2 linked regions of the Caenorhabditis elegans genome follow. The protein of the gene in region 2 purifies or fractionates together with the protein of the main gene of each other region. This does not show direct contact. Each region holds a gene or a part of one and is shown on either strand. Other genes may lie near its edges. The genes, in order: selt-1.1 and ran-2.

Region 1 (15,289 bases), on a different chromosome or scaffold from region 2:
TTTAGGAAATAACACTAATGGTGAACGTATTTCTGAAGACAAGTTAAAAAAAGCAAAACGAAATACTCAAGAAGAGGGCGTTTTCATACCCATGACTCATGGGGGCATCGGTTGAAATAATGAGTGTTTCGATAACAGGTGTTGCTGGCACCCGAATACTGTCATGCCAAGCAGGCCCTTTCCAGGGTCATTGCAAAATACGATGTTGTTGCGTGACGTGGCATGAAGCCATTAGAACAATACAAACGCAGAATAGAAAATAATGGGGAAAGAATCCTAAAATGGGTAGCGAACAAAGTGATGAAAGAGAAACATGACAAAGCGTGGAACAAAAACCGAAAATTTGGAGAATTGAAAGAAAAATGTGAAGAACGAATCGTTTTGAATGCAAATGAGCATTTGAAAAACGAAAACCTCGGAGAAAGGGAGACCTCACACATCTGCGGATGAGTCATTGTGGAGCCAGAGGAAACGCGTCGTGGGCACTGACCCCAGAAATTGCAAAGTGTACGGACGGTTAATTTAGAACATCTGAGGATGTTAGTGTCTAAAGGCCATCCACACACATACACATACACACGTAGTGACTCCCCCTCCTTCTTCAAGTCATTGATATCTGTCGTAAAAGCCCATAAAACTAATGCATTTGAGGTGAGATGGGTTAGGTTGGGGGAAAAGATGGATGAGAAGGGCAAGTTCCTTTTTTTTTTGTTTTCCTTCAGGAGTGAGAAGTGGAAGAATCCGGATGCGATTCAATTAGTTTGTCACCACTCCACCTCGGCAAATGTGAGATGCGTATTGTTGGTGGTGTAACTTTTTGAGATTGAGATGCTAGCACGAAAAGAAGATAGATGCTTTTCAAAAATAATGAGAATCCACGATGAATTGCAAAAGCAAGATGTTTGTCATTAGATTTGAGAAATGGTCAATTACATTTTTCTAAGACACTGGGGGTGAAAAACATTTATTAAGATATACATATTTTTTTTTGAAAGGAAGTTTAAACTTGCAAACACTGCTTGTGTATTACATGCACTCATTTTTAAAGTAATTTTTAAGTTGTAAAAATAAAAAAGTGTGGAAATTTTTTTATATTTTAAAGCTTACAATTAGAAAATAAGCATTTCTGAGCCAAACGAGGAAAATTCCACATCACGTTCAATTTAAACGGAGAAATCAATGAGCATTTTCATTAATTTTAAAATGAAAGTATGTAATACACAAGTACCAAAATAAGAAATTAACTCATTGTAAAAAAGTCTCAATAAGATATTGCAATTGCACGACAACAAAGTTCACTTTCTCGGAAACCGATTTCTTGTGTTTGACTGTTTGACCTTCACGGAAACCAAGAATCCATTAAGAATCTCAAAAAGAAACTAATTCTATAACGTAGCGTATTGATCACATCAAAACAACTCCTCCCATATCATATCCAATGAACAATAAAAAACGAGTTAAAATGAGAAACAAGGAAAGAGAAGACTGTGCACATAAAATTAAAGGTTATGCGAGTGTGCGAATATGAGGTGACTCAACGTCCTCCAAACACACACGCATACACACACCGAGAACCGTTCAAAGAGAACGAGAGAGTGTGTGAGGCGCGGAGGCATCAGACACTGGCGAGTGATGGGGCGCGTTTGCTACGGGCGAGTCAAGTATTGATCGCTGAGACTCCGCAGTGGTCTTGGTGCTGCGCGCTCGTTTGGAATACCCTGTGTTGTCCGCTTGTGTGTCGAGAGGGTGTTTCTGTCATATCATACTCTCCTGCGCGTCCGCTTTCTTTGCTTTTTCTAGTGTAAAACACTTCATCAAATGTGTTCTTCTCTGACATTTTTATCTAATTTTTTTTGTTGCAAAAAAGATGATGAAAAATTTCATTTCCTTCTCTATAGTGTTTTGATGTTTTTTTTGCCATTATTGATTTTTCAGATGTCACGGTTTGGGGTATTTATCATAGGAGTTCTCTTCTTTATGTCAGTTTGTGATGTGCTGAGAAGTAAGTTGTGACACATCATAAATGAAATAAACAACCCAAGTAGCTGTTTCAGCGGAAGAGCATTCACACGATGAGAACCACGTACATGAAAAGGACGATTTTGAAGCAGAATTTGGAGACGAAACAGATTCACAAAGCTTCAGGTATTATTTTTTTAAAGGTCGAATTGTGAAATTAAAATCAATTTTATTTTCAAAAAAGTGAAAATCTAACGCATGACCGTTTTCAATTTTTCAAGCTTTCTAAGGTGCTCAATAAAATTTCTAAGTTCATGATAATTAGTTTCCAACAGGTTAACTGAAATTTTTCAAACAAGTGCTACAAAACTTAATTTTTTCAGTCAAGGAACCGAAGAAGATCATATTGAAGTCCGGGAGCAATCCTCATTTGTTAAGCCTACAGCCGTCCACCACGCCAAGGATCTTCCAACATTGAGAATTTTCTACTGGTAATATTTATACATATATAGGTTCTACTAGAAATTATGCATAATTTTTCAGTGTTTCATGTGGTTATAAGCAAGCTTTCGACCAGTTCACCACTTTTGCCAAAGAAAAGTATCCAAATATGCCAATTGAAGGAGCCAACTTTGCACCGGTTCTTTGGAAAGCTTATGTTGCTCAGGTACTGTTCAATTTGAAGTGACTTGGATTATTTATAAAATGTATTTTTAGGCTCTCAGTTTCGTCAAAATGGCAGTTCTCGTGCTGGTGCTAGGTGGAATAAATCCATTTGAGAGATTTGGTCTTGGATACCCACAGATTCTGCAGCACGCACACGGAAACAAGATGTCGTCCTGTATGCTGGTGTTCATGCTCGGCAACCTTGTTGAACAAAGTCTCATTTCTACTGGAGCATTCGAAGTTTACCTTGGCAATGAACAAATCTGGAGTAAAATCGAGTCAGGTCGTGTACCATCCCCTCAGGAATTCATGCAACTTATCGATGCTCAACTTGCGGTGCTCGGAAAAGCTCCTGTCAACACAGAATCATTTGGAGAGTTCCAACAGACTGTCTAAAACGCTATGTTTTCAATTTGACACCGTGTTACCATAATTATTTACAATGTATTCTTGCTGCTCAAACTGATTCATTCCCTCACTCGTCATCCGACGCCTTATTTTATTAAGTTAAATTAACTTTTTATTTGTTTCTCAACGTGTGTAAATTATTTGCAGTCATAAAAATTCTCGCCACTTTTATTTCACCTCTAATGATTTTCTATTCAAATAATGTTACGTTTTGTTTTTTTTTAAATAATTATTTACCATTAAGGAATCAAATTTTTGAAACCAGTTTTTTCATTTGAAATTTTTCAGAAATAATATTTTTTACTAGAGTATTAGTTTTGTTTATTTAAAAACAAATCACAAAGTAAAAAATTCGTTTAAGGAATGTTTCGCGCAAATGAATGCAACATTTACAAAAGCAATCTCCTTGGATAATTGCTTAGAATATTTTAAGAGTTCTTCGTCGTCTACTGAAGTTTCCATTTTTGATATCAAGCTGTGTACTTGAGAGATTGCGTTTCCACGATACCAGTTGTCCGCACTCGGGCGGAAGAGCACATGACGACTCTGCGGATCTCCAAGGATACCATGCGGGTTTATGAAACATTTTTCAAATCTGAAAAATCTAATATGTGAAAATTGAAGTTTTCATAAGCATGCATACCTTTGCTGTCTTTTCTAACAGTTCAAACTGTTTCTGGGGCTCAGTCAAGTACTCAGAAATGTTTTCAAAAGTCTGAGCCTTATTAATGTGTTGTTGTATTCTCGGGAAATACTCATCAAGAACTCTGTCCATTAACTCTTTTAAGCTGAAATTATTTCTACTTGGTAGAAAACGCAAATTGCAGTGCTTACTCATAAGGAAGAATTCTGCTTTCCGAAAAGTTTAAAATGCACTCAATTAACATCTCGCCCATAGCTTTATGCATCTGAAAAATGATAATTGTCGAGGTTTACTCTGGGATTTTATTGCCTTGTACTCTGGATCAAGAATATTGTCTATCAAATAGGGTGTTTCGTAAATTGTATGATATGAGGGGATAAACAGGCGGGCTGTCCAATGATGATGTGACAAAGAAAACCATCGGAATACCTGCATGAACTAGTTTTTCTGTAAATTTCGGTTTTTTGAAAATCTAACCCAAATAATTAAAGAAAGACAAATGATCACTGCCACCTGCTGGAAGCTGGTAAAATGGATGTGAGGAATTATTGTTTTGTGAGGGAGAAATGTTTTCCTGAATTCAATTATAATTGTTTGTTCTTCATACTTTTTACTACCAAGAATCATATAGTGTCTCTCTTCCGTTTTCTATTTCTAACGGATTTGGATGTGAAATTTTTGCTGCAGCTGCACGAAGAACATTAACAACTGTAGGATTAGCCATAGCAAGTCTGATAAAGCAAAGTTTCAGATTATACTTTTTTAACTTCACTACTTACAATGACTGGTTTCCTCCAATCATATCCGTATTTATATATGCAACAGCTCTTCTCATTAACTGAGTACGATGCTCCTCTGCAAACTCTGTGGACCCAATCAGACCATATTCCTCAGCATCCCAATGAGCGAACAGAATTGATCTCGTTAAAAAACCCATTTTCAGGACAAGAGTGAAAGTAACTGTTATAATATTAAACACGTGGGTGTACATATTGAAATGTTTTCTAATAACGGAAGTGATTCGAAATCCTATTATACATAACTTGTTTAGTGTTTGAAAATACCTGGTCTCCATCCTGTAAGATTTTGATATGCTTTTAATGCTCTGGTTACTTCCAAGAGGGTCGATGTGACACTGTTTGGATCTACTGCTCCGTACGTCCAAGCATCATAATGATTTCCCACTAGCACAAACTTATCCGGCTCTTGGCTTCCCTTTATATATCCAAGAACGTTTTGAATTTTTCTAAGGATTAAAATAAAATCCGAAAACTGCCCAGTTAATAAAAAACAAACCGTTCCTCATTTTTAGCGTGCACAGTTACTCTAAGTTTCTGATTATTTATCAGTCCCGGACCATATCGGTATGTGACGTCAAGTTTTCCTAAAAAAGTAACTTGTAATTTCGGTGGAAATGTAGATTTCAAACAACCTTGAAAATCTGCAATGACGGCGTCTCCTTTCATTTTTTCGAATAAAATTTGCGCTGCGCTATATGGAATTGGAAGTAGTGAATAGTTGGGATCTTTTTTCCATCCAACAACTGGAAAAATACTACGTTTTTATAATTTAAATATCTGTAAAACCTCTTGCTCTGATTTTTCTTTGAAGAGATTTTTTATAGAAGGGAATGCCGGCAATCTGGGGTCTCCTGATTGAACATAGCATGTGCCTCTTTGAACGGCATGTGATGGCATCTTATCTGTTCTTCCATATGTACTATCTATTACAAAAAACGGATTGAAGTTTGCTTGTATTATTTTGAAAAACTCACTTGGTCCGGTTCCAAGACTTGCTACTTGCATAGGGTCTGAGTAGAGAAGACATGCTTTTGCTCCTTTTTTGACGGCCATTTGAGCTATGTTACCACGGAAGTTAGAACTGTATCTAGCGAGAACAATTTTGTCCTAAAAAGTTTTCTGCTGTATTAATACTTTTTATACTAGGAATAAACCTTCAGATCTATCCCCAACGATTCTATATGCTCGATATCCTTTGGAGTACCTTTGTTGACATAAACAATATCTCCTTCAACTGTTCCATCAGCCGAATATGCAAGCCATTGTATTTCAGAAACCAAATCATTCTGTTCTTCTTCAATAATAGATATGCTCCGTCCCGTAGTTTTATAAAATACATCTCCATTTTCTTCGAGTATTTCAACAATGTTGGGAGTCGTCCAATCAGGGTATGATAGCAACACATTATACTCGTTAAAATGAACATTTTCGAGACCTTGAGAGATCATTTGATCTCGAATAATTTCAGCCACTCGCAAGTTGTTTTCTGTTCCGGCCACATGAGCTTTTTTAGTGAGCGAATGAAGATTGGAGCGAATTTTGTCAGTGTTAATAAGCTGTCTGATATTATTTGCGATTGAAACTGAAATACTATACAATTAACTCTTCAAAAACTTTTCAAAGTGGTCTCATAAATCATTTGCAGTCAGATAGAACCATAGGAAACTTTTTTCTCTCTTCAATTTACCTGTATTTTGTATTGTAGGTGTCCCACTCGACATTGAAAGCTGATGTACATAATTTGAAATGAGTACAGTTACAACAACTGTCGCTGCTAGAAGTAATACAACGCCGAATATTTGTAATCCTTTTTTCATGTTCGATTTTTGAAAAACGTTATATCATAGAAAAGTGATTCGTTTACCAGGTTATATTTATATGCTTTGATAAAATGCAAATATTACTGGCAAAGTCGACGAGTTTAAAAAATAGTTTCATTATTTATTCGTAAGAATACATTATTTTAGGGATTTAATTCAGAAGTTCCTGATAAAAACTAGTTTTCGGCGTTAGATGTGTTCGACATGCTCTCGTTCCTGATTAAAAAAATAATCTGTCCATGATTTTTGAACAGGCATCAAACTTCCGTTGGAATGTGTTGGTTGAAATTTGAACGAATGTACATTCGAACGGGTCAAATGAAAAACTAATTCGAAATTTTCTGTGAGTTTTTTTAATGTCAAGTTTTCTCAACGTTACTGTATTCAAAATACATTTATTGGTTAAATAGTAAACATCGCCAGTGGGGATTTTGTCTGAATATCGCAATAAAACACTCCAAAATTCAAGAGTTTTTAAAAAATTTCTGTAACTGTAAGCTTTCAAGCAAATCCAGACTTATGTCGCACTGGCAAAAACTGAGTAGGTATCATTTTTTTGCAGTAAATAAAAACATTCCAAAATTTTGTTGTAATGTTTTGCAATTATTTTTGGTCATTTTCACCATTTAAACACTTTCCCCACTTGCACTACTCCACCTTACACTTTAAAAAGTTGACATTTAAATAATTATTACTCTGAGAGTCTATCAAACGTGATCACATTGTGAAAAATTCGCCGAGGGAATGTTTGGCACATATGTAAGCAACATTAACTAGAGCAATTTCTTTTGCTAGTTGTCTCGACAATTTTCCCAACTCCTTGCTGTCTGTCGAATTGCTAATTTTTGATATCAAATCGTGAACTTGTGAAATTGCATCTCCATCATACCAATTATCAGGGCTTGGATGAAACAATACATGTCGAGCTTGAGGATTTCCAATTGCCCCATGTGGGTTTATAAAACATTTTTCAAATCTGAAAGTTTTGAAAATCGAAAATTATTTTCCAATTTGCATTACTCGATAAGCCGATTATTTATGTCCACTCTACTGCCGAATGGTAGCTCTTCAAGTTTCGAGACATTTCTTCTTTGTACGATCTCAGAAAGTTCCTGAAATAATATTTGTTTGGTTTGGGAAGCATTTCAAACAAACCAAAACTGTTTTTTGTAACAGTTTGAACTGTTTCTGTGCATCCAGCAAATAATCAGTCTTAGTTCCAATCATTAACGTTTTATTTAGACGATCTTCTAGTTTTGGCAAATATTCAAAGATCGAGTCATCCATAAGTTCATTCAGACTGAAATTTTCAACATGTTCAGTGCTGCAAAACACATTTTTCTTACTCATAAGGAAGGATTTTACTCTCGGTAAACTTCAAAATGCATTCTATAAACATCCCGGCAATGGCTTTATGAACCTGTAATTTTTTGTTTAAAATCAAAAATTTGTTTATCAACAACGGCAATGATATATTTAGCCTACAATGAATGTCTCAAACTGCATTGTACCTTGTAGCCAGGATCCATAATATTTTCAATCAGATATGGTGTTTCATAAATTGTATGATACAGTGGATAAGTTGGAGGTGCATCTAGGGATGAAGTGATGAAAAAGACAATTGGGATTCCTGTAAGTTAAACAATAGTAAATGATTTCGATGTGTCGTTTTATGAACTAACGTACCAAGATAATCAAAAAATGGAAGATGATCACTTCCACCAGCGGGGATTCTTTGATAAGGATGGGTTGATCGATTGTTCTTTGATGGCGCATAGTATTTCCTTAAAACTATTAGTTATGCAATTCAAAATTTTTTATTACCAGGAATCGTATAGTGTTTTTCTCCCTTGTTCCATTTCTGTCGGATTTGGCTGCTCAACATTTGCCGCTGCAGACCGGAGAACATTGGCGACGGTAGGATTCGATAACCCAAGTCTGCAAAATCTTAATTTCCACTCAGTCAATACTCGGAGCTAACAAAGTCTGGTTGCCACCAATAAGATCCATATTAATAACTGCAACTGCTCTTCTCATTAATTGAAGACGGTATTCTTCCGCAAACTCAGTGGATCCTATCAGACCATATTCCTCGGCATCCCAATGAGCGAACAGAATTGATCGCGCTAAAAATTTATTATATATTGTTTCTACTTCTCTGAATAAAAAGAAAAAGTAAGCTATTTCAATGTCTCAACAAGTTTTTATACATCATTCATATTTTATCCTCACCCTGTTTCATGTACATTATATCTCTTAAAAAACCATGTCTGTTCACATCGCCTGAGTTTCTAGTTCATATTTTTTCTCAAATAAAGCAAGTGAAATGATGCGATGAAACATTTTTAAAATACCTGGTATCCAGCCGGTTTGATTTTGATATTGTTTCAACGCTCTGGAAACTTCTAAAAGCGTAGATGTTCCACTGTTTGGATCAACAGCCCCATAAGTCCAAGCATCATAATGATTGCTCACTAGAACAAACTTGTCCGGTTCCTGACTTCCTTTGATATATCCCATTATATTTTGAATTTTTCTAAAATTCAAACGCAATCTACTTATCAATTCTACAACTATAACTGACCGTTCTTCGTTTTCAGCATGAACGGTAACACGAAGTTTCTGATTGTTTATCAAGCCAGGTCCATAACGATATGTAACATTTAACTTTCCTAAATGTAAACGCTGGTATTGTACAAATATACAGTTTCACTTTGAAACCTTGAAAATCTGCATTCACTGCATCGCCTTTCATATTCTCAAATAATATTTGTGCTGTGGCATATGTAATTGGGAGCATGGGAATGGTAGGTATTTTCTTTTCATCTAACAACTGTAATTTTTATTTCAGTTTTTCCCAAGTGTTGAACAAATAAAACTACATCTTGTTCAGTTTTCTCTTTGAAAAGATCTCCGATTGATGGGAACGCAGGTGTTCGTGGATCACCTAGGCCAATGTAGACTGATCCCATCTGGACTGTATTTGACGGCATTTTGTCTGTGTTTCCATAAGTTTCATCTAAAAATAAAAATAGGATAAATTTAAATAATATTTTTACAGCTCACTTGGCCCTGTTCCCAAACTGGCTACCTGTTTTGGATCCGAATAAACAAGACATGCTTTTGCACCTTTCTTTACAGCCATTTGGGCAATATTCCCTCGGTAATTAGAACTATACCTTGCCAGAAATATTTTATCCTAAAAACATAAACTTACCAATTTTCAAATTACATTTGTATGTACCTTGAGATCAATTCCTAACGACTCTAAATATTCAATATCGCTTGGATTAGCGTTGTTCACATATACTATATCTCCTTCGACTGTGCCTGCTGCTGAATACGCGAGCCACTGAATTTCAGCCAGTGGATCATTTTGTTCTTCTTTAATAACTGAAACACTCCGTCCAGTTGTACTAAAAACCAAATCTCTATTTTCTTTCAGTATTTCAATAATGTTGGGAGTTGTCCAATTCGGATATGATAACATTACATTGTACTCATTGAAATGCACATTTTCGAGTCCTTGAGTGATCATCTGATCTCGAATCATTTCAGCCACTCGTAAATTATTTTCTGTTCCGGCCACATGAGGTTTTTTAGTAAGCGAATGAAGATTGGAGCGAATGTTGTCAACGTTGATTAGTTGTTTGATATTTGTTGCAATTGATACTAGAATATAGTTTTCGAAATAAGAATGAAAATTGATTTGTTTTAATGTGTCAACAACTACTCAGAGTTGTATCTAGCGTTTTAAAAAACATACAATAGAATGAATTATTAATACAATCAATTAATTAATTATATATAATATTATACAATTTGTAAGAGCTATTTCTCTGTTTCTCCTTTACTAATTGTTCAATATATAATTTTTGATCAAATTTTAATTAGCTTATAAAACAAAAAATCTAATAGAGAAAAAGGTAGAAATCCGAGTGTTATCACTATTTCACTAAATCAAGCTTATTTTTTACTTACATTTAGGAAGAGGCTTTGAATTTGATTTGTAAGATTGATGTATCGCATTAGATAAAATAATAGTCAAAGCAACAGTAGAAACTGCAACAAGAACCACACCGCTAGCTTTCATTCCTCTATTTCTTTTAGACTTTTGGAATACTTTCTGTAAAAATGTATGCTTTAAATGACATTCCTTCATATTTATTTTGTGATATTCAATGTTTGAATTGCCTGTTCTGGTTTACAATGAACGATTTTGACTTACGTCTCCATTATTGTTATAATACTTCATACAACTACAACCTTGTGTAAACCGGTTCCGAGCTGTTATCATTTTCTACACTTAAATTAGGATCAAATTTTACAAAAATGAATTTAATAGAAATATATTCAGAGTAGTCAAGGAAGAAAATTTTTTGGGAAAATGTGGGTTGTCGTTTCAACGCCCATAAAAGTATAAACGACGATGGAAAATTGTGTGTGACTGATTGGTTTTTTTCAAATATAAAAACTCATATATGATATGTCCTAATAAAATCTGAGCACGAAAGATACATTAAACAAAGATCGAATACAACTTTGTTTTTATTGATTAATAATCAAGACTTTAACAACTCAAAACTGCTTAAACTCGGGGATAATGGATCATTTGAAAATCAGGCTCAATTATTCGACTGAATGTTTGAAATGAAATAAAAAAAGTATTTTATAGAATACTGAAAAATAATCAAACTGGAAGGTTCAGAGTGTTATTATTTGGTGAGATCATGGATTCCCATTGAATTTAGTTTTGATATTTCAAAACATCATTCATGGCTGAACCTTCTCTGCTGCAACGAAAGCGGTTGCAGTTACTAACAGTAACACTCTTTAATCGAAAAATTACTATTTCATATCAAAGTCCAAGATGAAGTATAGAACCATTTCTTATGATGCAAAAAAAACCCCCTTCAAGTTTAGTTTGTTGAAAAAACTTTCTATTTACCGTAAATAAAAAAACCTGATTTAAGCGTAAAATGTCAGATTATAAGTTAGGTTTTACAAAAAAAAAATCTTATGTTGTTTATTGAAGATTATAAACGTTTACAAATGTGTCAAACTGTAATGAAAGGAGTCAAAACATTATGCATAACGAACAAAAACGGACAATCATAGAAATGAAAATTATCTCTTGAAAATTCTTCGGACGCGGTCTGAAAAAATAGGGTAAATTGTAAAAAACTTCAAAAATCACTTACTCCAAGCTCGTCTGTACCATGGAGGGCGAATGGTGTGCTTGATGTCAGTTGCAACGCGCTTCACATCTCGTTTAACGTCATGTTCTAAGATATGTTTTTTAATCTAAAATGTTAAAAAAAAACGCTCACCAATCGACATGTTCAGTTAAAATTTGAAAATAACACGATTCTTCTGCCAACGGTAAATAGAAATCAACCAAGAAATGACTGAAAGTGAGACAAAGAATGTGGGTGTTGCCCGAAGTCGTCTCCTGTTATGTCACAATGCGTACCTACCTTTTTTTCAAAATTGCTGTCACATGCGCAATTTGATACGCAGGGAATCAATAGATGTGGTAGGGAATTGGTGAAAAACGGAAGTTCATCATCGATGTCATGGTATTTATTTACTTTTATTTTTTCACAAACAGTTTTGATGTATGTACAGACACTACAAGTCATTTGATCATGGATGAGGGAACAGAAGAAGAGGCAAATTCAATAGGTTGAAACCAAATATTATTCCATTACAATCGTCAACGTTTGAGTTCAAAATGAGAACAGAGTTATAAAATGTTGCATTTGAACTATTCAATGTGCTCATGAAGTTTCAAGCATTTCTTGCTTGTTTCTACATTGAATCCTTTAAACTGAGAAGCCAACGGTTCTCGTCGCTGCGTTGATAAGTAGCTGAAAATGTTTTTTGAACGGATATTTTATTTCTGAGGTTAATACCCGACAAGAATACTTGATTCCATTATTGTCACTGCTTCTCGACCACATTTTTCTTCAACACGTGGCAATACACATTTCAAAACTTTGTCCAACGCATCACATTTTTCTCCTTCTATCTCAGCAATTGTTCGGAGCGCTTTCCCAAAAACCGATTGAACATGCTCTTTCATTGTAAGAAACTGATCATCGTCGTTCTCCAAATCCTACAAACTGTTTGATAAGTCTACGAAGAGAAGTCGAATTAGTTTTTTGATGTAACCACGTCGATGAACAAAAGTTATTTTTTAAGATAGATTTTTAAAGTTTTTCGAGAGCTCATAACTCTTAAACTACAAAGTTTAGAAAAAACAATTCAACTAACAAATGGTTGCCTGAAATTAGGCTTGTGTGATGACAATTCGTAAAAAAGCTCAGCACAATCATTACTGCAGATACAGCAGTTAACATCTCACGAGTCCATGTTTGATGGTTTCTACTGAATCGCCGTGCGCAAGAACAAAACGTTTCCATGAAAAAAGTTTTAAAGAAAAAATAATTTTAATGTGATTTTTGTTCATAATTTACACTTTGCTAGTGAAATCGAGATAATCTTTTTTTGCACAATTCTCAAAAAAAAGTTTCACTTGAGTTTTAATTCCGTTGTTTTAGCTTTGTTCACGTAATTCCCAGCAATTTTAGAACAAATAGATTAAAATGAAACAATAGAAAATGTTATATGAAGTATTTTTTATTAATTTTTTCTGACTAAGGTTTGTATAATAGTTTTAAAGTTATGCCTTCAAAAAACTTTTACAATTACAAAAAAAAACATTTTGGTTATGTGGTTTTTATGAAGTTAATTTGAAAAAGATTTTTACCTTGTTTGCAGTCAACTCAGCAACTTCTTTTGTAGCTCTGATATGTGTTCTTGCAATTCGTCTGCCAGCTGAGTACCGTGTATAGTTGTATGCTAGCATCTCCTGAAAATTCTCATTTTTACTTTCTGGAAAACATTTAATTACCTCAAAGCAAGGTTTCGTATATTCTTCCACACCAGCTGAGAAGCAATGGTAAACAGTATTATCAATTTCCGGTTCTGGGCATTGACGATCAAGTAAGATACGCAGGTTTCCATCTGTGTTTTTCAAATCATCCAGTCGCCAGTAAATTGCGGTTCTGAAATTACGAAATATGAGGAATAACATAATAGTGTTCGTAGAACCAAATACTAACCTGGATTCACCAAATCCATATTGACACTGAAGCTGCATTTCATACTTCTCACAAAGCTGTCTCAATCCTTCTTTGAACTCTCCCGCTTCCATTGAGACAAATCGTGCAGCAAATGAGTTGAATCCTAAGGTCAGCAAAAGCTGGAATTTTTTAATTTCTTCAGTGTGCTGTCTAGTAGTGGCTTACCTTCATATCCTTTGTAAGTTTAATGTTGTATACATTTTGAAATACTCTCTCCGCTCTTTCATGACCAAGAGTGTTACACTCCATGAAATAGTCTTCATAAACATTGATGCTGTAAAATCGTTCATTTCATTTTTGGTTCAAATGGTTCTGGTGATCTTGATAAGCAATTCGCGCAGAGGCTTCACAGAACTATCATGTGGTAATCACATTGTTGGACTAAAAGTGATAGATTTGGATGAAAAAATACTTCACTAATTTGAACTTTTGGATTTTGAGAACAAAGATAATAGTGAAATTATTAAAGTGGAAATAGACATCGTGAAAACTAACTTACCGCTCACGAGCTGTAGCGTTTTCCGTAGCATACAAAAAATCTTTGTAAGCTGAAACCATCAATGTTTAATTTTTACAAAATTTTTGAAAACTATTCTCACCTTTTGCTCCAAACTTTCGTGCTTCTCCAAGAAGCTCTTTGGGAAGACGATCATAAACTATGCTTTGTGTTATTTTAGAGTCACAAATAATAAATAAAAGAAAACAAGATAATAAAAATCGTAGAGCAATGACATTATTTTGAGTAGTCATTCACAGAGAAGCCAAAACAAGAGATAGGAGAAAATATAAATTGACAAGTCAACAAAGCAAGTCAATATATAATAATAGTATCAGTTTAGCTTTTGCAGCAGTACGAGTTATTTTTGAATGTTTGCCGGCTGATTAAAAAATGGTCTTGTCCATACACTTTTATAATTTTGACACTCCAACGTTGTGGGCAGTCAGTCAGCAGCAGTCGGTAAGAGATACTGTCCAAATCATTTATCACGTCTTTCGAAGACGCGCAAAGCGTTAAAACCACTGATACAAATCTGATTGAAAATAGTAGAAGAAACGTTGAAAGTAGTCATTGGCCGATCAACGACAACGCGTCATGATTGTTTGATACTTGCACGAACGGTGACGTCAACTACATTCTGATTTAGTTTCGTAAAACACAAGTTCAGTTATTATTGGTAACCTTTAATATTTCATCGATAAGAGTTGATTTCTTTGGTACTTGATCAGAGAACGTTCAAGATTATTGAGATCACTAGCGCAATTGTACTGCCAACATGTGATTACCAAGCATAAAATGTAGTCTTCAGAAGTTGCAGAATACTTGTTCTCAACATTAAATAACTGTTTGAACTGGCAAAACTAACTTGAAAACAAAAAAAATACATTTTTCGGGTTTTTAACGAAGAAAAGGCTTGTTGATGATGTGAAAACAAAAAACTTGATTTAACTAATAATTAACTAATAAAAACATTAACTAATAATATTTTGAGGTACATATTATATATCAAACAATTGTTCCCTCGAATTTCTTCGAAAAATAATTTTTAACATTTATTAAATTGAAAGATTTTGTAAATTACAAATAACAAGAAAAAATGCATGGAGAGTGTTTGAAAACAACGAACAACAAATAAATAGATACATGAATTACAAGTAAAATTTACAATTTAATAAAACCGAGCTTGAGCAAAAAAAATTAATATGAAAGAAATTTTTTGATATAATTATCAAAGTAGTATCGAAATTACTAAACTGGGAATATGAGAGTATGGTGTACTCAAAATTTAGAAAGAAGTGTAAAATAATGCCAGTGATTTGAGATTGCGAGTAAATACACGTATAGAA
Region 2 (18,202 bases):
CCTTTAAGATTAAATACTCTAAAACATACATCATACTCTTTTCGAGTTTCTCCTTCTTCGAGGATTGGTTCCATTCGAGAATGCCATTTGTCAACATGTTCTTGTAGAGTTGACACGGCAACATCCACATCTTCATATGCTTTAGCCATCTCGTAAGCCATTTGTTCGCGATCTGTTCGATTTTCAGCAAACTTCTTGAGCAATGGTAAAGCTTCTGTAAATAGAAAATTTACTTGATAGACTTGAGAGAGTACAATTTCAAAGTATTAATTTTAAAATTTTATTATAAAATTTTGCAAATAACTTACTGTCGATGAGCAAATTTCCAGGTAAATTGATAACACTGTTCAGTTCGGCATCATCAATATCCTCGAATCTTAATGGAACATATTCAGCAGGCGGAATATCAAAATCTGTTTGAAGAGCATCGAATTCTAGGTTGTTTGGAGCCATAGGAGGCCGTTCACCACGTGGCCGCACGTCTTCTTCGTCGTCATCGAACCCACCTCCAAACATTGAGAGCTCGACTTCGGCAGCAAGATCTTCATCGACTACGTCGTCATCTGGAAAAAATATAATTCAGTTTAAATTTCATAAAATTGAAATTTCTTACATTCAGCTCCGAGGGTTCTTCTATTAGACGTTGGAATATCCTCTGTTACCGGTTCAAATTGCTCCACGGGTATCACACGAGCTGTCCGTTTTCTCTGCATATTCTGGATACGAGCTTCTCGGATTTTTGCAGTCTTTTCCTTGATTCTTCGTTTCTTCTCGGCTAGAATAGCAGTACGAAGTGATTCTATCTTCCAGTCCTTAATCGGATTTATACGAGCCGCACTTCTCCAATAGTAGTAATCCTGCAGATAGTCGTGAGTTTCCATGAACTCGTCTCGTCGAGACTTATTGATCTTTTCCTCACGTCGTTGCTTCCTAGCCAACATTTCAGCGGGTTTTGGTTGGAATTTCGTGATCTTTTTTACCGGCTTGCTAACGACTGAAATATATCATTTACTATATATAAAGCGCTTATTCCGTTTGTCCATAGCTTGTAGTCTATGTAGTCTTTGTAGTCTGCGAAGTTTTAGCTTCTGGAGGGATAGTGAGTTGGGGTTAGTGTAGGGATATAGTCGGGGTACTGTAGTGGTACAATGGTGGTACGGTAGGAGTACTGTATGATTACGGTAGGAGTACTGTATGATTACGGTAGTTTCAGAAAAATTGGTTTTCAGCTCCAGAAGTCGGGGGCCGCGCCGGAGGTGCGGTCCACGGCTCATATATATATATAATCTAAAAAATACCGAAAGAATCCCATTAATTCAACAAATACCTGGCAGATTCTCGTCTCCCGTGTACCAAATAATATGATTTTTATCCAGCTCGTCCCATGGTGCCGGTGCTCGCTTCTCATCCCTTCTGGACAAATTTCGAATATAATCATCGTCGTCATCGTCTCCTCCACCACCAAAATCATCATCAAAGTCCATGGGCGCGTAATTCTCATCAGGTCTTCTACTAGTGTTTGGTTCATCGTTTTGCATAACAGATCCAAAGTTATCAACGAACATATCAACTAAGCCAGTGGTAAGATGAGTGCTCGGGCGATTCTTATTAACTCTTCCCTCCACAAATGACAAGAAATCATTCAAATGATTACTCTGTCGATGTCGTTCAACAAATGGTTGTGAGAGACGAGTTGGTTGAGATCCAAAGCCTTGAGAATCTCGAAGAGTTTTAGCTGCAATTGTGATGGCTCTCGATGTGGCACGAGATTGAATTTCTTGATTTTGACGAACTGCTTCTTGCTCTATGAACCAACGAGGAGGTGGAACAACTTCACGGCCAGAGAGAGGATCCTGAAGAAATCAAGTTTTGAAAATGTTTCATCGAATTATTACCACTTACCTTAAACGGTCCATATGCACTGATCTTCTCATGCTCTTGCTCCAAATCTAACTCAACTTCCAAATCAGCAACACCAAAATTAGCTGCCAATTCCTTATTATCTGGCATCCAACGAGCACCAGGTAGTGTGAATTGGTCTAAATTTCCACGATAACAATCATGGGAGTAGAGTATTTGTTGATCGTGTTTAACTTTCGACTTTTTAATTTCAAAATCTTTTACTTTTCCGATAACATCAGGACGAGATTTTGCATTCAAAATTTGTTCATCAGTACGATTGAGCTGGCCGTAATTGAGCTTGAACATGAACTGGGTTGGCTTTGCTACTAAACAGCTTTTTCGCTCATATTGAGACTCTATAACTTCAGCATTCTCGACCATTCTCACTGCATCAATCGATTTTTTCTCTTCTTTTACTGTCTTCTCAAAATTTGCTAGAGCTTCCTGTTTCAGTGAGTCGATATCAGCCAAGTCGTAATTCGTCGATCCCAAATTAAAATTTTTCCGTCTTCCAGCTCCTCGTCTACTGCCGGTGTTTCCATCATCTTGACCTTTGTTCTCGACTAAATCCACAACTGAAATCGTCAGTTCATAGACATGATCTACTTTTCGACCATATACGGCACACGATCCTTGAATAATCCGGCATGCTCGTTGAAAATCGAACAATCTGTAAGTTGTCGCTGCATCCACCTGATTATCTGTGTCTTCACTTTCTTGTCTGATAACCTCGAGGTATCCGGCGAGTGCCTGAAAGTCGAGCAATTATTTATTTTATTTACCGAAAAAGAAAAGATACAACCGTGAAAAAAAATTATCCTTACTTTCAACACGTCGATTGAGAAGTTCTCGACAAGATCTTTTGCGGGTGTGACGAGCCATGCTAAATCTGTCGATTCTTGACCTGGAGGAGCATTCCTAGTCATTTGTACCTGAAACAACAATTCCAATGCTCTGGCGATGATTAACTATAAAAAAGATATAGAATGGTACGAAAACCATAAGGAAGTTATAAAAAACCTGAATAGTATTTTAAAAACGAAGTATTTTATTTTGATTGAAAAGAAAACAGGAATCTAATCTATTCGAGAAAGAAATAACAATTTTAAGTATTTTAAAGTTTCTTTTGTTCTGGAAGTTTCAATCCAACAATAGCAGCAGCCTCTTCAACACTCTTCTCGCCACCCTTATATCTCTCTTGAAGTTCATTAAGCTGTCGGGTTCTAAAATGAATGGATATTGATTATTACTTTCTTATTCTCATAAAACAAACGAACCCTTTAATATAGCTCAAATAGAGTTTTGCAACGCTCTCTGACTCGTTCTCGGCTTTTGAATATCTTCTTGTTGTAACCTGGTCGGCTTTCATTTGCTCCATGAGGTATTTATATTGTGCCGAATTCGGGGAGAATGTTTTGTCGACCTTTTTCAGTTCCGAAATGATGTTTTTGATGGTGTTGAAAGCGGTCACTCCTTTTCCAACAGCAGAGGCCATACTTTAATTTTGAAAATGTACAAAAAAGGGATAATAAATAGCACAATAACACAATTCAGACAAAAAAAGAAAACAGGAAAACGTTCTCAATTCAAACTGCGCGCGTGAGGCGCGCGTTGTTTAGCGAAACGCGGAGCATCGTTGCGGTACCATTTGCGCGGAAGTTTGAATCTAGTTTTTTGTGGCAATTGATTTTGACATTTTCCAATAATGTGGTAAATTATAAAATGGTACATTTATTTTAATAGAAACATGCCCAAGCAATATTAAATACTTTTTGAATGTAATTAATCAGCCTCAGTGAAAATAATCTGTTGAAATATTATCCCATTCGGAGATGCCAAAATTTCCAGTGCCAATCACGAATAAAGTGTCATTATTTGTCTGAAAACATTATATTTGAAATTCAATTGATTATTTTAATAACCTTATTTAATTGTTCTTCTGGAATTTCCACTGAAGTCATCACATGATGATTTCCGAATTTTATGAAGAGATGCGAGTCCAGTAAATGAATTGAGAATTTATAAAACTTTCCAAATTCTACTTTTCTTCGTGCTTTGAATTCAGCAATTATTGAACGGTCAACGAAATCGGAAAATATAGTTACTTTTTTATTTGAAAATTCAATCTCAACAAATATTCCACGACAGTTTATTACTTCTATGTCACATCCTGAAAATGTAATAGATTTTAATATGAATCACAACACTAATTACATACCACTACAATTACTCCTTATACCTAGAATGATGGATTTAGCTGTTGAGTGTTTTGGAATATTGACCTCGGCGTTTAGAATACTATTCTTCTTTCGATACCTAAATGGAAGGAATACCGTATACCGTATTTCCTCTATTAGTTTTGCACCCCTTTGCTCAACTTTGACACCTCATATCTCCTTTTTGGACATATAAATAATTAACAAACTACAAACTACAGAAAAAACATCTATCTAAATTTTTATCAGTTGACAACTTTTCTATAGAACAAACTACTACTGAGATATGAGCTGCCAAAGTTGAGAAAAGAGGTGTAAAAATATTAGAGGGAATACGGTATACTGTAGTTCCTCATAGGTCAAAGTCATCAATTCTTACGCCATAACTGCATATGGAGTTCGAATGTGTGAGGTGCACCAACTAATTGATGGGCGTGTCACTTTCTGTACCGCCCGTCCATTTCGTACCACCCATGATCCTTTTTGTGGCATCCAAAACTTTGGCTCCTCGTCGAATTCATAATTTTCAAAGTCGTCGTGATAATTCAAAGGAACCAATGGTGTTTTTATAGTAACTCTTTTCGGAGTTGAAACTGGAAGTGTAGTGAGTATTCCAAATGAATTAACAGGAAGAAGAATGGTAATTGTAGAATTGACAGATTTTGAAAAGAACTTTGAAGGTCCAAAGTTTAATGACATATTTAATCCTTGAAATGATGGAATTTCAGAGAATTTAAATCGAATAAGTTGACTTGGCTTGACATGGTATGGCCGTGGAGATGAATATTCGCATAAAGATTTCTTGTAACTCTGAAATTTTTTGAATTAAATGTTTATTCTCAAATCATTTGAAGCAATTTCTCATAATTAATATTAAAGTCTTACCATGGTTTCTACAAAAATGGTGGAATCTTTTCCATTTGTATAAGTGACATATGTTCCTCCACCATCAAATCTACCACTACTTTCTCTTAAAATCTTCCATCCTCGCTTAACATGAGAAGTAATGTATTCTGAAATAGTCGTGATTCAATTTTTTTGCACATTATTATCATACTTAGAACATGAAAAGCTTTTTCAGTTTGAAACTTATTCTCATCAATCCGTGCGAGACCACATCTATACCAAGGGAGTTGAGGATAAAACGCAGACATTAAATGCCAAGAAATCATTCTGAATTTCCACTATATTTTGTGTGTTCACAATCAAAACTTGCCCAGTAATATTTCCATTTATAAAATTCCAATTCATAGTTCTCGCCATACATCCTTCCCCGGTGTCCCTGTTGTCTGTACTATAATCTTCGCTTGCCCAAATGACTTTACCACTTTTTTGAACATTTTCAGGAATTCGACCGCCTGGGTAATGAACTCTGAATCAAAAATATTTACTTTGTGTGCTCTGAAACGCTGAAAAAGAAATAACAAGGTTTTCTTCATACCCTATAATGTCATATTCATTGATAAATCGTTTGTCAAGAAGTCTTGAATAACTGTCATCCATTCGAAATCCTTCACCAGCCACAATCAGAGTCTCATTGAAACCATTGAGATTGAGAATTTTTCGAAGTTCCTAAATATCAAAACTTGATATCACACTAGATTGCAGTGTTAGTAAGATGTGTTTTTCAAAAACTTATATGTCTTGTGCTACTCTTAGGATACTGTAGTGTAGAACTTTCTTTTGCCACCCCTACTGTAATCGTGATGTATCTGGCTTTGTGAATTAATTTGAGAGTTTTGATATGTGATTTGAGTAATTGTAGGAATTACGGTATAACTCTAAGGTATAACTTTGTGAATATTTCATTAAATTCCAAACAGATGGACGGTGCCCCGTAGGATTTAGCGAACCAAAATTTGAAAAAGTTTTCGTTATATCTACCTTAACATAGCTCTCTGAGAAATTTCTCTCATTCCAAACTCCAACACAAAATGTATCAAAATTCCAGGTGTCTCTTCCGATTTTCAACCAATTCACAACATATTCTGCAGTTTCTGTCACATTATCATATGGCGTATTACCAATCCATCCAGGAAATGCCCATGGAAGTACACAAATTGGAATTGTCGGATTAATTTCACGAACTTCACTTATTAATTGAAATTCATAATTATTTTTTGAAATCTTTCCTTTTTCGGATTCGTGTGATGATTCGGTGCCTTCAGTACTTTGGTCGTCACCACCCATTTCAACTTTCAGCAGTTGTAGACCATTATCTTTCTGGAAATTATTCAAGAATGGGAAGAGTAAAGGTTAATTTTAAATTTTATTTAAGCTCCTGTATTATATTTATCTAATTTACAGACGCAAAATAAACTATAACTCACATTGAAAAGGCTCTCTAAAACTTGTTTTCTATCACTTTTCTCCGAGAAATATGTGAACAAAAGTTTAGAAGTCGCCTGAAATTTTCGTAATTTCTCTGAAATTGGACTGAATCCTACCCCTCCACCACTGACTGCACCAAATCCATCAAAAGTTTGAGCAGATCTCCATGATTTTATGTCTATATTATTTGTTTTAGTTGCAATACTTGGTAAAATCAAGATAATTTTTATAAATATTGAAAACATTGGGGATGATTGAAGGAATGATGTTGATAAACAAAAAATGATGAATTAATATAAACTTACTCATTTGAAATTTGATATCTGTTTTCGTATTACTAAATGTTATTTCCCCTCAAAATTATTTTTGAATTTGAGGTTTCGATACAGGAACTGTAGAAAATGCTTTATTCATCTCAAAATTAAAAAAGTTCACAAAGACATAAAACATGTAATCATAAAAACAACTTCGTTCACAAAAATTTACTTGAAAAACGGATTGAAGCATTTACACGTACAAGAAAGAGATTTAAAGTATTAAACTAAAAATTAGTGGAAATTAGAGAAACAAAATTAAAACAAATTGATAACTCGTGTATACATTGGAAGTTGAAGAAATATATTGTTCACGATACGATGAATAATACATGTATTGTAGATCCAAATATAAAATAACCACGGCTTATCTGAAATCATGTAAAAAAATCGCGAAGACTGGGATATCGTGTAGAGAAGCTCGATTATTGTGAAGGCTGAAAAATTGAAAAAAATAACCATAAAATATAGTTGTGAGACTTACGAAAAAGCGTTGAAGGAGAGCCAGCTCCAACTTGAAATGGCCGCGAGCAACAAGTTCCGAGAACAAACGTGAAATCACTTGTGGATCGGCACCATATCCCCAATCAGTTTCAGCCTGTAAAGTCTGTCTCATATATTAAACGTTTTTTAGAATAAGCTTGAAAAATACCTACCTTAACTCCTGTTCCTGCACATTGAGCAACAATATTGTTAACTAATTGAGTTGTGGCCGGAATCGGGTTACGCTTGACAGACTCCACTCGGCGGACGATATTTTCTTAAAAATTGAAAGTAGTTATATTAAAATATTTTTATATTTCTTACCTGCAACTTCAATAGCTCTTTGCAAAGCTGGCTCACTCATTTTACAACTTTTGAGAGGTGCTGAAAGTTGAAGAATAACACGTGCAGTGTCTTCCTGGAATCTGCTTTCAAAGTCGATATCCAGACGATCAATTCGATCCATTGCAAGTTTTAACTGTGATTCTCCATTGTCGATAATCTGAATCTCCGCTTCCTCATCATCATCTTCATCGTCATCATCCAAATCTGCATCTTCCGAATCTGACGATTTACTATTGTACTCCTCTTGATCTCCATCCAAACTTCCCAAATCATCATCTTCATCTCCAACATTCACATTTTCCGGTGCCATTCCAGCAACATCAGAGAATTCATCACCAAACGAATTGGTATGAATATGAAGCACTGGTTTCGGTGTAAGACCATCAAACTTTGACCATTTTTGAATCAGGAGCTTAGCGACGGGTGGTGTGAGCTCGTTTCCGCAAAGGTAAACATTTTTAAGATGGCGATGATGTTGAGGATTCAAGTGATCAATAATGTAATTGCATCCAGCGTCACGAATCAAACAGTCTGACAAATTCAAAACTTCTAACTTCGGCCAAGATTCCAGAGTTTTTGCAAGAGCCTTTGCACCCTTGGGGAGTACTGTATTGTCTTCAAGCCAGAGATATCGAAGATTTCTGTTGTGTTTCAATGCAGCCACCAGAGCACGAATTCCTTCTTCATGAATTCCATTTTGACGAACATCAAACCATTCAACCGTTTCAAGAGCCTAAAAATAAGTTTTAGAAATTAAAGTGTTTAACTATAAATACCTTAAAAGTAGCCGCCAGTGCATGTGCTCCTGGATTTTCCAAACGATTTCTTCCAGCAATAAATGTTTTCAATCTCAATCGATTCTCGCCTCCCACAGCAATTGACTTTCTGAGACACTCAGTCAATGATTTTGCGATTTGTTTTCCTCCTATTCCTAATCCATTGTTGTTAAGCTTCAAGACTTCCAAAGAGAATGATGACGGTGATTCCAAAAGATCCTTGAGAGCATCAGCTCCAATTGGTCCAAAGGCGTTGTCAGACAAGTCAAGCTCTTTGATCTTACATCCAGCAGTCATCATAGCCTTTCCAAGAGCTTCTAGAATCGGTGGAATTTCGTTTTTGAGGCGTCCAGTGAACAAATCACTCCAAAGACATCTCTCGAGCTCTGGATGACTCTCTAAAGCTTTTGCAATCACATTTCCTGCCGCAATTCCAAGGGTGTTTCCTCTTAATTCCAATGCTTTCATAGAACTTGCAGCTGCAATCACTTTAACCACAGGCTCAGCACTTTCTGCAGTATCAAGCTTTAATGATTTGTCCAAGAAAGAAACCATTCCATTGCCATTGCTGTTTTGCTGATTGTCTTCAATCTTCATACATCCGAAACCTTTGTTCATCAGATCATTCATCATTTCATCAGCAGAAGCTTCGTGTAAATTCGAACGATCTATCACGGTTTCACGTGATGTGTTGAAAGCATCTGAAAATATTTTTTTAATAATCATTTTTCCATTAAAAGTCGCTGGGCTGGGCTGTTATTTGGCACAATTGTAATTTTTCGGGAAATTTCGAAAAATTCTTAATCAAGTTTGGTGAAAAAATTTAGATTTTTCAAACAAAAATCGATTTTCCAAAATACTTACAGAACTCACCTCAAAAAGGTAGGTACCTCAAAAATTTTTTAAAAAATTGTAAAAATGAACACTCGAGTTTTACAGGTATCTAAGCTAGTAAAAATGCTTTCAGTAAACTTCAAAAAGGTTTTTTTTATTTTAAGTTCTCTTTTGCCGCTATTTTTTTAGAAAAAATTGTTTCAACAATATGAAAAATAAAATTACCTTCTTCCATACTTGCATCTTCTGCACCTTGTTCTTCTTCTTCATCAGACGATAACAATTCATCATCACCTCTTCTACCAAAGTCAATATTTCCTTTTCCGTGTCTTGCCTTGGCACTGTCGAAATCTTTACCAAACATGTTCACAGAAATGTCAACTTTTCTGAAAATTATTTAATGTTTCAAGAACATTTGAATTTCCTACTAAATGCAAAGCTTACACGTGGCACATTTTAGGAGAATTAAAGCAAGCTCCAATCTCATCAATAACATCAGAAGTGATATTGTTTCCACTGAGAACGACTTTCTTCAGACAATCTCGATTTATTTTGTCGAGTTCTGCTATGATGGCAAGAACTCCCGGATCATCGCAGACACAATCACCAAGATCCAAAACTTCGATAAATTGAAGATCCGAAAGAACTTCAGAAATTTGAATTGCTCCTTCTGGACAACAGAAATTATCATTGATGTCAATAATTCTTAATTTCTTATTCATCCGAAAAGCTTCAGCAAGTGCAATAATTCCGTCATCTCGGATTCCATTTTGAGGAAGGCGAATCTCTTCAAGTGTCCCCAATTTCTAAAAAATAATTTTGAGTTATTATGAGTTTAAGTTATTTATCTTACAATAAATGCGTCAGAGAGGGCAATCGTGGATTCAACTTCCAGGCGATTTCTTCCACAAACAAATTTCTTCAATTTCAGTGGTGTTCCAGCTTTTTTCGATGCATCAATGAGTGAGCAAAGAGCTTTTCCGACTGTTTTTCCCGCCAAACCTAGACCGTTATTATTGAGAATAAGGTTTTCTAGTGAGTACAAGGCTGGTGATTGCAGGAAATTGTAGAGAGCTGCAATTAAAAGTTGAGATTAAATCTAAACTTTATTGAATAAACATGTTGACAATCCAGCTCCAAAAGCATTATCCGATAGATCAAGAGTAGTAAGACGACATCCAGAAGCCGTCAATGCCTCTCCAAGAGCATCAAGAACAAGAGGAATTTCATCTTTCAGTCGACCCGTGAACATATCACTCCATATGCATTCCTTTAACTCCCTCCGCGTTTTCAGTGATTCTGCGATTAATTTTCCAGCCAAAACACTGAGCGTGTTACCACGAAAGTCAAGAACCTCCAAGTTGAGATGTTTTCGGATTTGATCAATTACTTTCGAAACTGAAAATAGTATATTTAGTTTACTGTTTTTAAAAAAACGTTTATTACTTTCTTCCTCGGTATCCAGTTTTAGTTGCTTTCCAAAAAAGGAGAGTGTATTGTTGAGGTCCATCTCGAATAAAAATACCTGAAGATTATTTACATTTTGAGATTCCATAATGCGGATACAAACATGATTGGCATGAGCATCCCGAAATTTTTTTGAAGTTTTATTAGAAATACTGGGTGAGCAAACTGGTAAAATAGTGAGAAATAGGCGGGGTAGCATAAATATTAAATTGAATTTGTCTGTTTTCTTAGAGACAATTGGGAAAAAGTAGATGCGAGAAACTAGATAAGAATATGAAAGTGAAGAGAGAACACAGTGGTTGTAAAAGATAGAGAAATAATAATGAAGATGATAAGAAAATGACAATTATGAAAACTTTTACGAAAATAACCAGTTTTTTTAATTGAATTTCACTGCTAAAAACTAAATTAAATTCGGAAAATCAGAAAAATCTTTTGAACATGTTTGTTGAGATTCTGATAATTTTCGAAAACAAAATAATTTCGCAGAATTAATTTCTTTCGAATTTTCCCGAAAAATAAAAGTTACTTTGAATTACATGGAAATAAAGTTTTGGAAAATGTGAGCATATTACATTTTTTCGTGAAATTTCGAATTTTTCAATAATTTCTATGTGATTGCGAAATCTAAACAATTTCAGTTTAAAAAAGGAATCGGGCTCGATATCGGGGATTTGCCAAAATTGAAACAAATTTACTTCTAAAGTTTAGTAGTTTTTGAGTAAACAATCACAAAAACAGTTGGCACAGAGACCTTAAAAACAACAAAATGAAACACCTGATTGCTCGAGACCGACTTACTCGTTGAGAAAATATATTTGAGAACAATAAGTAAAATTTTCATCGAATAAGTTACGATGTTCGGTTTTAGTAAAACTTTAAGATAAAAAAGAGCTCTGATTTTATACGGGAAACATCACGTTAAAGATATGTATAAAAATCAATAAGTTAGGTAAAAAAACTTGAAAAATAATAATAATAACAACCGTGGAGATCATATACAAATCGGGAAAAATGGTAAAATAAAAAACAAAACAAAAAATGAAGAATATAAAATAATCAAGTCTCCATCATCGAATCACGATTCAACTGATCAATAAATCGTTGTTCTCTTCGTTGTAAAATCGGACCGAATGCTTCGAGAGCTGCTTGAGAAATCGATCCAACTTGTTTCATATCCGGACGGAAGAATGCCGATTTTGGTAGAAGAGCCTGTTTACAAAGTTGCTCTCCAATCCATTTCAGATGACCTTTGATCCATGAAAGATGATTTCCAGTCGTATTCGCGATACATTCATCGAGAACTGTGTCGATATCGGTTGGGAAGATCAGACGACGAGATATTGGCATCCAAATTGGGAAAGAATCACCTTCTGTAAAATGAATTTTTGTTCATGTTTTTTTTTCTGTTGATACTTACTGTCAGCAGGATACGAATTGATCAAATAGTTGCAGAATTTTCCGAAAATTGTCTTTTTCTCCACATCTTCTTTGCTTCTAACCCGGTTCCACTCGTCATAATCCACTAATGCTTTCCACGTCTTATCAATTTTCTTTTTCAATTCATCCGAATCCGGATGCACAGCAAGAAGATCAGCTAACAAATGGAATGCTCTTGCGAACCCTTCAACCGAAGCTTCATCATTCGGCTGGACAGCCATATTCCATTCGAGCATATCTTCCACAGACATCATCGCATCCAAATCGTTGCCGAAGCATATTTTCAATATTTCGGTCGGAATACGTTTACGATGCTTCATCTCCGGATATCGTCGTTTGTAGAAGTCGAGAACCTCTGAAACATCTGTTCCATCGATACTGGAACATGCACAATAATATGCTCTTGTTAGAAACTCGACAAATTTTGAGAAGCTCTTAGTTTCTGCATCAGCAAGACTCATCAAAGTGAGGGCCGCCTTTCCGAACTGTTTATTTGCAATTTCTCTTGAATATCTTAATTCTTTGAAGTTATCCAAATAAGCATCCACTCGACTTCCACCTTGTTGCAAAAGTACATCATTTCGTCCATGCTCTTTCAGATAATCACATAGATACATCTCGAAATCGTCTTTTTCGAACATCTTCTTGTATCTTTCAAAAGTCTTCTGCCGAGTGCCAACATCAGTCGTTAGATAATTTTTGACTAACGTTCCAAAGTCCTTGTGTTTCTCTGCCAGTTCCATAGCGTCTGCTGGCTTTCCAAGAGCGATCATTTCTTGCAAAACTTTGTCGTTGTCTGGTTGAGAGTCACTTTCAGACAGGTAGAAATCGTAGATGCTAAAATTTATTAATTTGGAAATATTCGAAGCAGAAAATTTCCTTTCTTACCTCAAAATATACATCAAAAGTCTTGCTCTCTCACTATCAGTAGATGATCCATTTTTCAATTCCTCAATGATCTTTTCAGCAACATCACGATAACAAGATGCAAAAGTTTCGAGAGTCCACCAAATAGGGAACTTAGGAATAGCAACTTTCGTTCTGCAACTTTCATACAAATGGTTAAAGTCTGTTAACAAATCAAAACATACTTTCTCCAACTGATAATAGTTTCTTTGATACCAGAAAGAAGTTCACATACAGCGTGAAACACTTCGAATCTGTGTGATTTCGTCTTTCCGATCACATTTTTTTCCAATTGTTGAGCAGCAACAACAGGAATATGATGAACTAGTCCACATCGACCGAATAGAGCATCTTTATCTTTCAGACCTAAATCCTGGACTTCTGGAATTCTCAAAACTTTCTCGATGATTGCGTCGAAAACTGCAGAATTTGTTTCGTTTGAAGTTTTCCACGTCCATATGGCCGTTGATGCAGCGACACGTTCGGAGACCTGAAAATTCAGAAAATAAGTTTATTTTTCTAAGTGTAAATTTTTACTTCTCCCAGCATTGTTCCTCCGACACGTAGCGATAAGATTCCTCCTCTGCTGATTCCCAGGGGTGAGCTTATGATTCTTTCATACACTCCCATATGCTTCAGGAAAAGCATGATTCTGGATGTCAACACTCGCTTCGCGTGGAGTTCAGTGTCAGTTTTGTTGGCAGCATCCGAATAATCAATTATTGCGTAGAGAAATTGAGAAACAATACGAGCAATTTCCTGATCTGGCATTTTGATAATCGCCTTTAATTCCTCTTCCGACTCTGCCATATGTTTTTCTGCGAAAAGCTCGAAAGCCCGATGCAATGATTGATAAAGTGGAGTCTTCGGAAGTCCAGATGCAACCATTTCAGACAAGAGTTCGCTTAAAATTGGCCAATCATCAGTGCCTACTGACAGAGATGGTACGACGACTTGCTCATGTGTATAGATCGAGCTGTCTGCAAATCCACGTGGTAGAAGACGAATTGTAGAGACACCGGATTCTAGCATCATAATATAGACATATTGTGAGCAAATTGCATATCCTAGAAGTTGATCTCGGGGTGGAATGGAAACATGACGGTATAGACTTTCCGGTTTTTTCGGTTTGGCCAAATCGAATGGAAGGTATAGAGATACCGCTGAAAAATATCATCAAAAATTAAATTAATTTTGTTATGTAGTACCAAAGTAGGGATTGATGATAATGATTCCATCTGTTCTATCAGCCTTTTTCGACTCTGCAGTATTCTTGGGAATACACAACGTCAGATTAGAGTAGATCGAATCGTCAATCTTCGAAAAAAGGGCGCGATGCTCATTCATTGGAACTCTTGCTGACCAAACTACTCCGGTGGGTTGCTCTGTTTGCCAGTTAGCACTCATCCAGACCATGAACATGTGAACAGATTGAGACTCTTCATGAGTTCCACCGATTAGAATCATCAGACCATCTCGGAAGACTGCTGCATCAATCAACCTCGCTCGGACTTTCAGTGGAGTTCTCTGAAGCATTCTCATATTTTGAGAAATTCACTTATTATTTTTAAGTTGCAAAATGCAAACCTTCAAGTCCGCTTCGAAAAACGATGCAATCTTTGGTTGGAAAAATTCCTTGGTTTTCAGTGACCAAAGTTCACATGGTGTGTACATATTATAAACTGTCAGAACATCTGGAGACACTGTTACAACCAGTAAATCTTTGGATTGATGTTGGAAACTGTTCGTAATTAGTGACGTAGATTCCTTGGATTCTCCTCCGAACATTATTGAAGAAAGACGTCTTCTGAATCCATGTGCTTCTCGACCAGCTACTTTATTGCATTCCAATGCACCCGTTTTTGCCGAATCTTGCCCTTTTCCATTCAAAAAATAGACAGTTCCTGATGTAGTTGTCAGTAGGAAAGAAGCTGATTTTCCATCGATCGGCTCATCAGTCAATTCCACCCGCAGAGCAACCTCGTTATTGATATCCAAAACTTCTTCAATGTATGTTTGAGATTCAATTGAAGTCCAATGTCGAAGAACTCCTTCAGGTGAGACAACGAGAATTCCTGGACACGGGGTTTTGTTTGCACCACGGTGGACTCCATCATATACAACAACGCACTTTACTGAGCGAGGAAGGCCACTGGTCGGCAACGGAAGCTGAGTGGGGATTATAGCACGATGGCTCGACTGAAAGTTCAATTTAATTCGAGAATTGTTATTTTTTAAATCTCACCTTCGCCCGCTCCCAAATGAAAATTTGATTTCGAGACAGAACCCAGCAGTACCTGTCATTGAGTGATGCACAATTTGAAGTCACCTCGGATCGATGAGCTGAAGCGTGCCAATCTAAATCAGTTGAGAAATTTCTGTTTGATCATTTTTCGACTCACTATTCAGAAAGGCCTCTTTCACCAGTGCCGGGTATTCTATGCTGGATACTCTATCGAGAGTTAGTTCGAGATCTCGTCCCGACATTCTGAAATTTCAGTGATTAGAAAAGGGGGCGATATTTAGAAAAGAGAAGAAATTGCAAAATGAAAATGTTCACATGTTCCGAAACAAAAGTTTCGCGCCACAAACAGATTTTGAATTCAATTTCGATGCGAGACCCTTCAAAATGTGGGAACTCTGCGCCTTTAAAAACACGGTATGAAATATTTTTGTTTTTGTTTCCAATTTCCAAAAAAACGTTCAAAATATTTGTTTAAATCAATTAAATAGTTCAAAACTGAAAAATATTTTCGTTAAAATTCAAATTCCCACAATTTTGCGTGTCAAGCACCCAGTGTTGGCGCGTTTCTTAGCAGGCGCACTATTCGATCAGAACTGTGCACTCGCCATTTTCAGTCTCATGAACTAGAAAATTAAAAGCTCAATTTATTGTTTATATTAACCCAGCGAAAGATGAATGAGGATAGATTAGATTTTCGATACCTAAAATCTGGAAATGAGGGAATAGTGAGTGTTTTTTTTCAATTATTTTTCAATAAAACGTTTTTTTTTGTTATTTTAAGCCTTCTCTCTCCTTCTGTCTCATAAAAACATAATTTCTGACAATTTCAGATGATCAACAAAACAATTGATCCATCGCAAGCATCGATGTCAAATTGGAAGCCTGTTGACGACGGTAATCTGGAATTCTTGGAATTAAATTTTCAGGAAACAATTCAAACGAATTCTCCCTCAAAAAAAAAAGAAAAAATGAAAAATGGAAGAATATTCTGCAAAGCTTTTTTTACAGAAAAAACGCATAACCTCCACTCACAAAATCATCGGAACAACCGTTTACGGACAAGTCGAGAAACGACGGTAGCCGTCGCGGAATCTGCAAAGAAAAATGGAATGCAGACTATACACAGGGTGAGAAAAATTGAGTTTGAGATGAAAATTTTCCCCAACTCCACTAAAAAAAACGAAAGAAAAATGCATTTCTTAGTCAGGTTCGAATTTTGTTGTTCCAATAACAATGCAAGCACATCCAACACACCTGAGCGATCGATATCTGGATGAAAAAGATGATATTTTGAGTCGTGAGTTTAATTTTTTTCAATTCAACTATTTAAAATTTGCATTTTAGAACACAAAGCATTGCCTTATTGTTGTCACTGCAACGCGATTATTAAAACTTGGAGGGGATTCGAATATCACGTTCTCTGCACACATTTAAAGTAAGAATTTCAATTCAAATTATTTAACTAAATATGTAAATAAAATTTTTGAGCATTCATAAAACTTCAAACATTAAGATATCGCCCCTACCGTTGTTTTCATTGTAAAAAAGATGGATTTTACACTGAAGAAGAAGGTCGTTTTCATTTGAGTACAAGACATCCGAAAGATGAAGTTACGGTATGGAGCAATATAAACATTTTTTTAAAAATTTATATATTTTCAGCTATTCAAGGAATACGATCCCAAAAAAGAGACAGCCGCCCGAGAAGCATTCAAACAAATTTTTCTGATATGTAGAGATGGAGTATTTATTTTATCTTTGAGAATTGAAAAGGTTAAAAAACATTTTGCAGCCAGAGGTAACTAAAGATCGAGTTCACGAATGGGAGAGAGAAGCAGAAGTAGAAGTTATGAAGTTCGCCAACTTGAAATTCAAACGGCCAATCGTGTTAGTCAGAAAATTGTGAGTTTACAAAAAAAGTGCCGAAAAGTTTAGCATAAAACATTCTGGAATTATTGATAAACATCAAACTTTTAATTCTGATAGTAAGCTGATTTTTATTATTTTAATTTTGAAACTTCAGAACTTCACACTCACGACAAGTGCAAACGCCCACATATCAAAATATTTCATTGGTAAGGTATTTACAACGTCATACTTGTGTTCTAAAAATTTTGTTTCAGGATTCCTGTCAAATTCCACAGACTCGCCCTGAACTTCAAAATATTGCAATAAACTTTCGTCCGATGTCTGTCACAACTCCACATCAAGATCTATCCATTAATCGACGAGGTGTCTAAATTGTTTAATGTATTTGCGGGTCCTTTTTTTTTTGATAAATAAGTTCATAATTTGAATTTTTATACTTACTGAAATTCTTGAAATAATGATTTTCGATTTTCATTATTCATATTTTAATCTTTATTCAATTTTCAATTACTTCTCATTATTAACTTTAAAAAAATCTGAAAAAGAATTTATTAACTTTTTCGAGATTTCCATAATTCTTTTTCAAAATAACCAATTCCAGTTTAAAGTGACCTCCACTCATAACTAATTCCAAACGTGGCGGAGGGAAGAACCTCTATAAATTGTTCGACCTTGTCTACCCGCTTTCTTACACGCAATAAATTCATAAAACATCTTTTCCCTAATCGCACGAACATTTAGATTAGAATCGCCAACAAAATGCCGGTTTCTTTCTTATTATATTCTTTTGATTTAGTTGTATATATTAGCCGAAAATATCGAAAATCGGAAAAAATCCAATTTTTATGTTTGGAAATCGAGAAAAATCGATAAAGAATTGCTAACAAAATCAGTAATCTTAAAGGCGCGCCTTAATTTGTTAGGTTAGTTCGCAATGCGTGGCGAGACCATTCTAAAATAAATGCACCTCCTTGAAAATCGTGGAAGTGGAAAAAAGTTATATTTTCTAATTTTTGTTAGATTTCCCACGTGGATTTTAATTTCAAAATGTTTCCACTGTATCTACTGATGCAA

Evidence for each region.
Region 1: the proteins of ran-2 (region 2) and selt-1.1 fractionate together in Caenorhabditis elegans (co-fractionation; one large-scale study listed by BioGRID). This does not show direct contact.

What each region holds. Positions count from the first base shown.
Region 1 is NC_003284.9:11,533,142-11,548,430, reverse strand, and holds selt-1.1 (Thioredoxin reductase-like selenoprotein T homolog selt-1.1), read left to right. Parts: upstream 1-1,935; coding exon 1,936-2,002; intron 2,003-2,045; coding exon 2,046-2,145; intron 2,146-2,342; coding exon 2,343-2,450; intron 2,451-2,502; coding exon 2,503-2,626; intron 2,627-2,676; coding exon 2,677-3,021; 3' UTR 3,022-3,340; downstream 3,341-15,289. Other genes in the region: gcp-2.2 (N-acetylated-alpha-linked acidic dipeptidase 2), read right to left, coding at 7,014-7,272, 7,317-7,408, 7,452-7,596, 7,643-7,716, 7,808-7,926, 7,983-8,080, 8,121-8,234, 8,278-8,422 and 8 more; C35C5.9 (Group-specific protein), read right to left, coding at 11,424-11,452, 11,498-11,581, 11,627-11,636; C35C5.8 (Saposin B-type domain-containing protein), read right to left, coding at 12,064-12,166, 12,212-12,414, 13,069-13,170, 13,213-13,366, 13,424-13,563, 13,610-13,718, 13,944-13,992, 14,044-14,194.
Region 2 is NC_003281.10:7,926,349-7,944,550, reverse strand, and holds ran-2 (Ran GTPase-activating protein 2), read right to left. Parts: upstream 11,017-18,202; 5' UTR 10,868-11,016; coding exon 10,772-10,867; intron 10,727-10,771; coding exon 10,648-10,726; intron 10,600-10,647; coding exon 10,321-10,599; intron 10,276-10,320; coding exon 10,055-10,275; intron 10,008-10,054; coding exon 9,646-10,007; intron 9,588-9,645; coding exon 9,427-9,587; intron 9,069-9,426; coding exon 8,368-9,068; intron 8,325-8,367; coding exon 7,571-8,324; intron 7,524-7,570; coding exon 7,420-7,523; intron 7,371-7,419; coding exon of another isoform or gene 7,362-7,370; coding exon 7,248-7,361; intron 7,201-7,247; coding exon 7,189-7,200; 3' UTR 6,843-7,188; downstream 1-6,842. Other genes in the region: Condensin-2 complex subunit kle-2, read right to left, coding at 30-214, 309-563, 614-994, 1,328-1,853, 1,903-2,652, 2,727-2,828; C29E4.12 (Protein FMC1 homolog), read right to left, coding at 3,017-3,125, 3,180-3,397; C29E4.10 (Putative galactocerebrosidase), read right to left, coding at 3,695-3,781, 3,825-4,072, 4,121-4,218, 4,498-4,928, 5,004-5,131, 5,176-5,291, 5,335-5,490, 5,560-5,690 and 3 more; npp-15 (Nuclear pore complex protein 15), read right to left, coding at 11,728-12,041, 12,089-12,945, 12,997-13,155, 13,200-13,504, 13,552-14,177, 14,223-14,541, 14,602-15,213, 15,260-15,372 and 1 more; C29E4.13 (C2H2-type domain-containing protein), read left to right, coding at 16,090-16,386, 16,463-16,556, 16,604-16,694, 16,773-16,875, 16,922-17,002, 17,052-17,161, 17,283-17,334, 17,383-17,499. UniProt on the Caenorhabditis elegans protein: GTPase system comprising ran-1, ran-2 and ran-3 is essential in nucleocytoplasmic trafficking. Ran-2 is a GTPase activator for the nuclear RAS-related regulatory protein Ran, converting it to the putatively inactive GDP-bound state.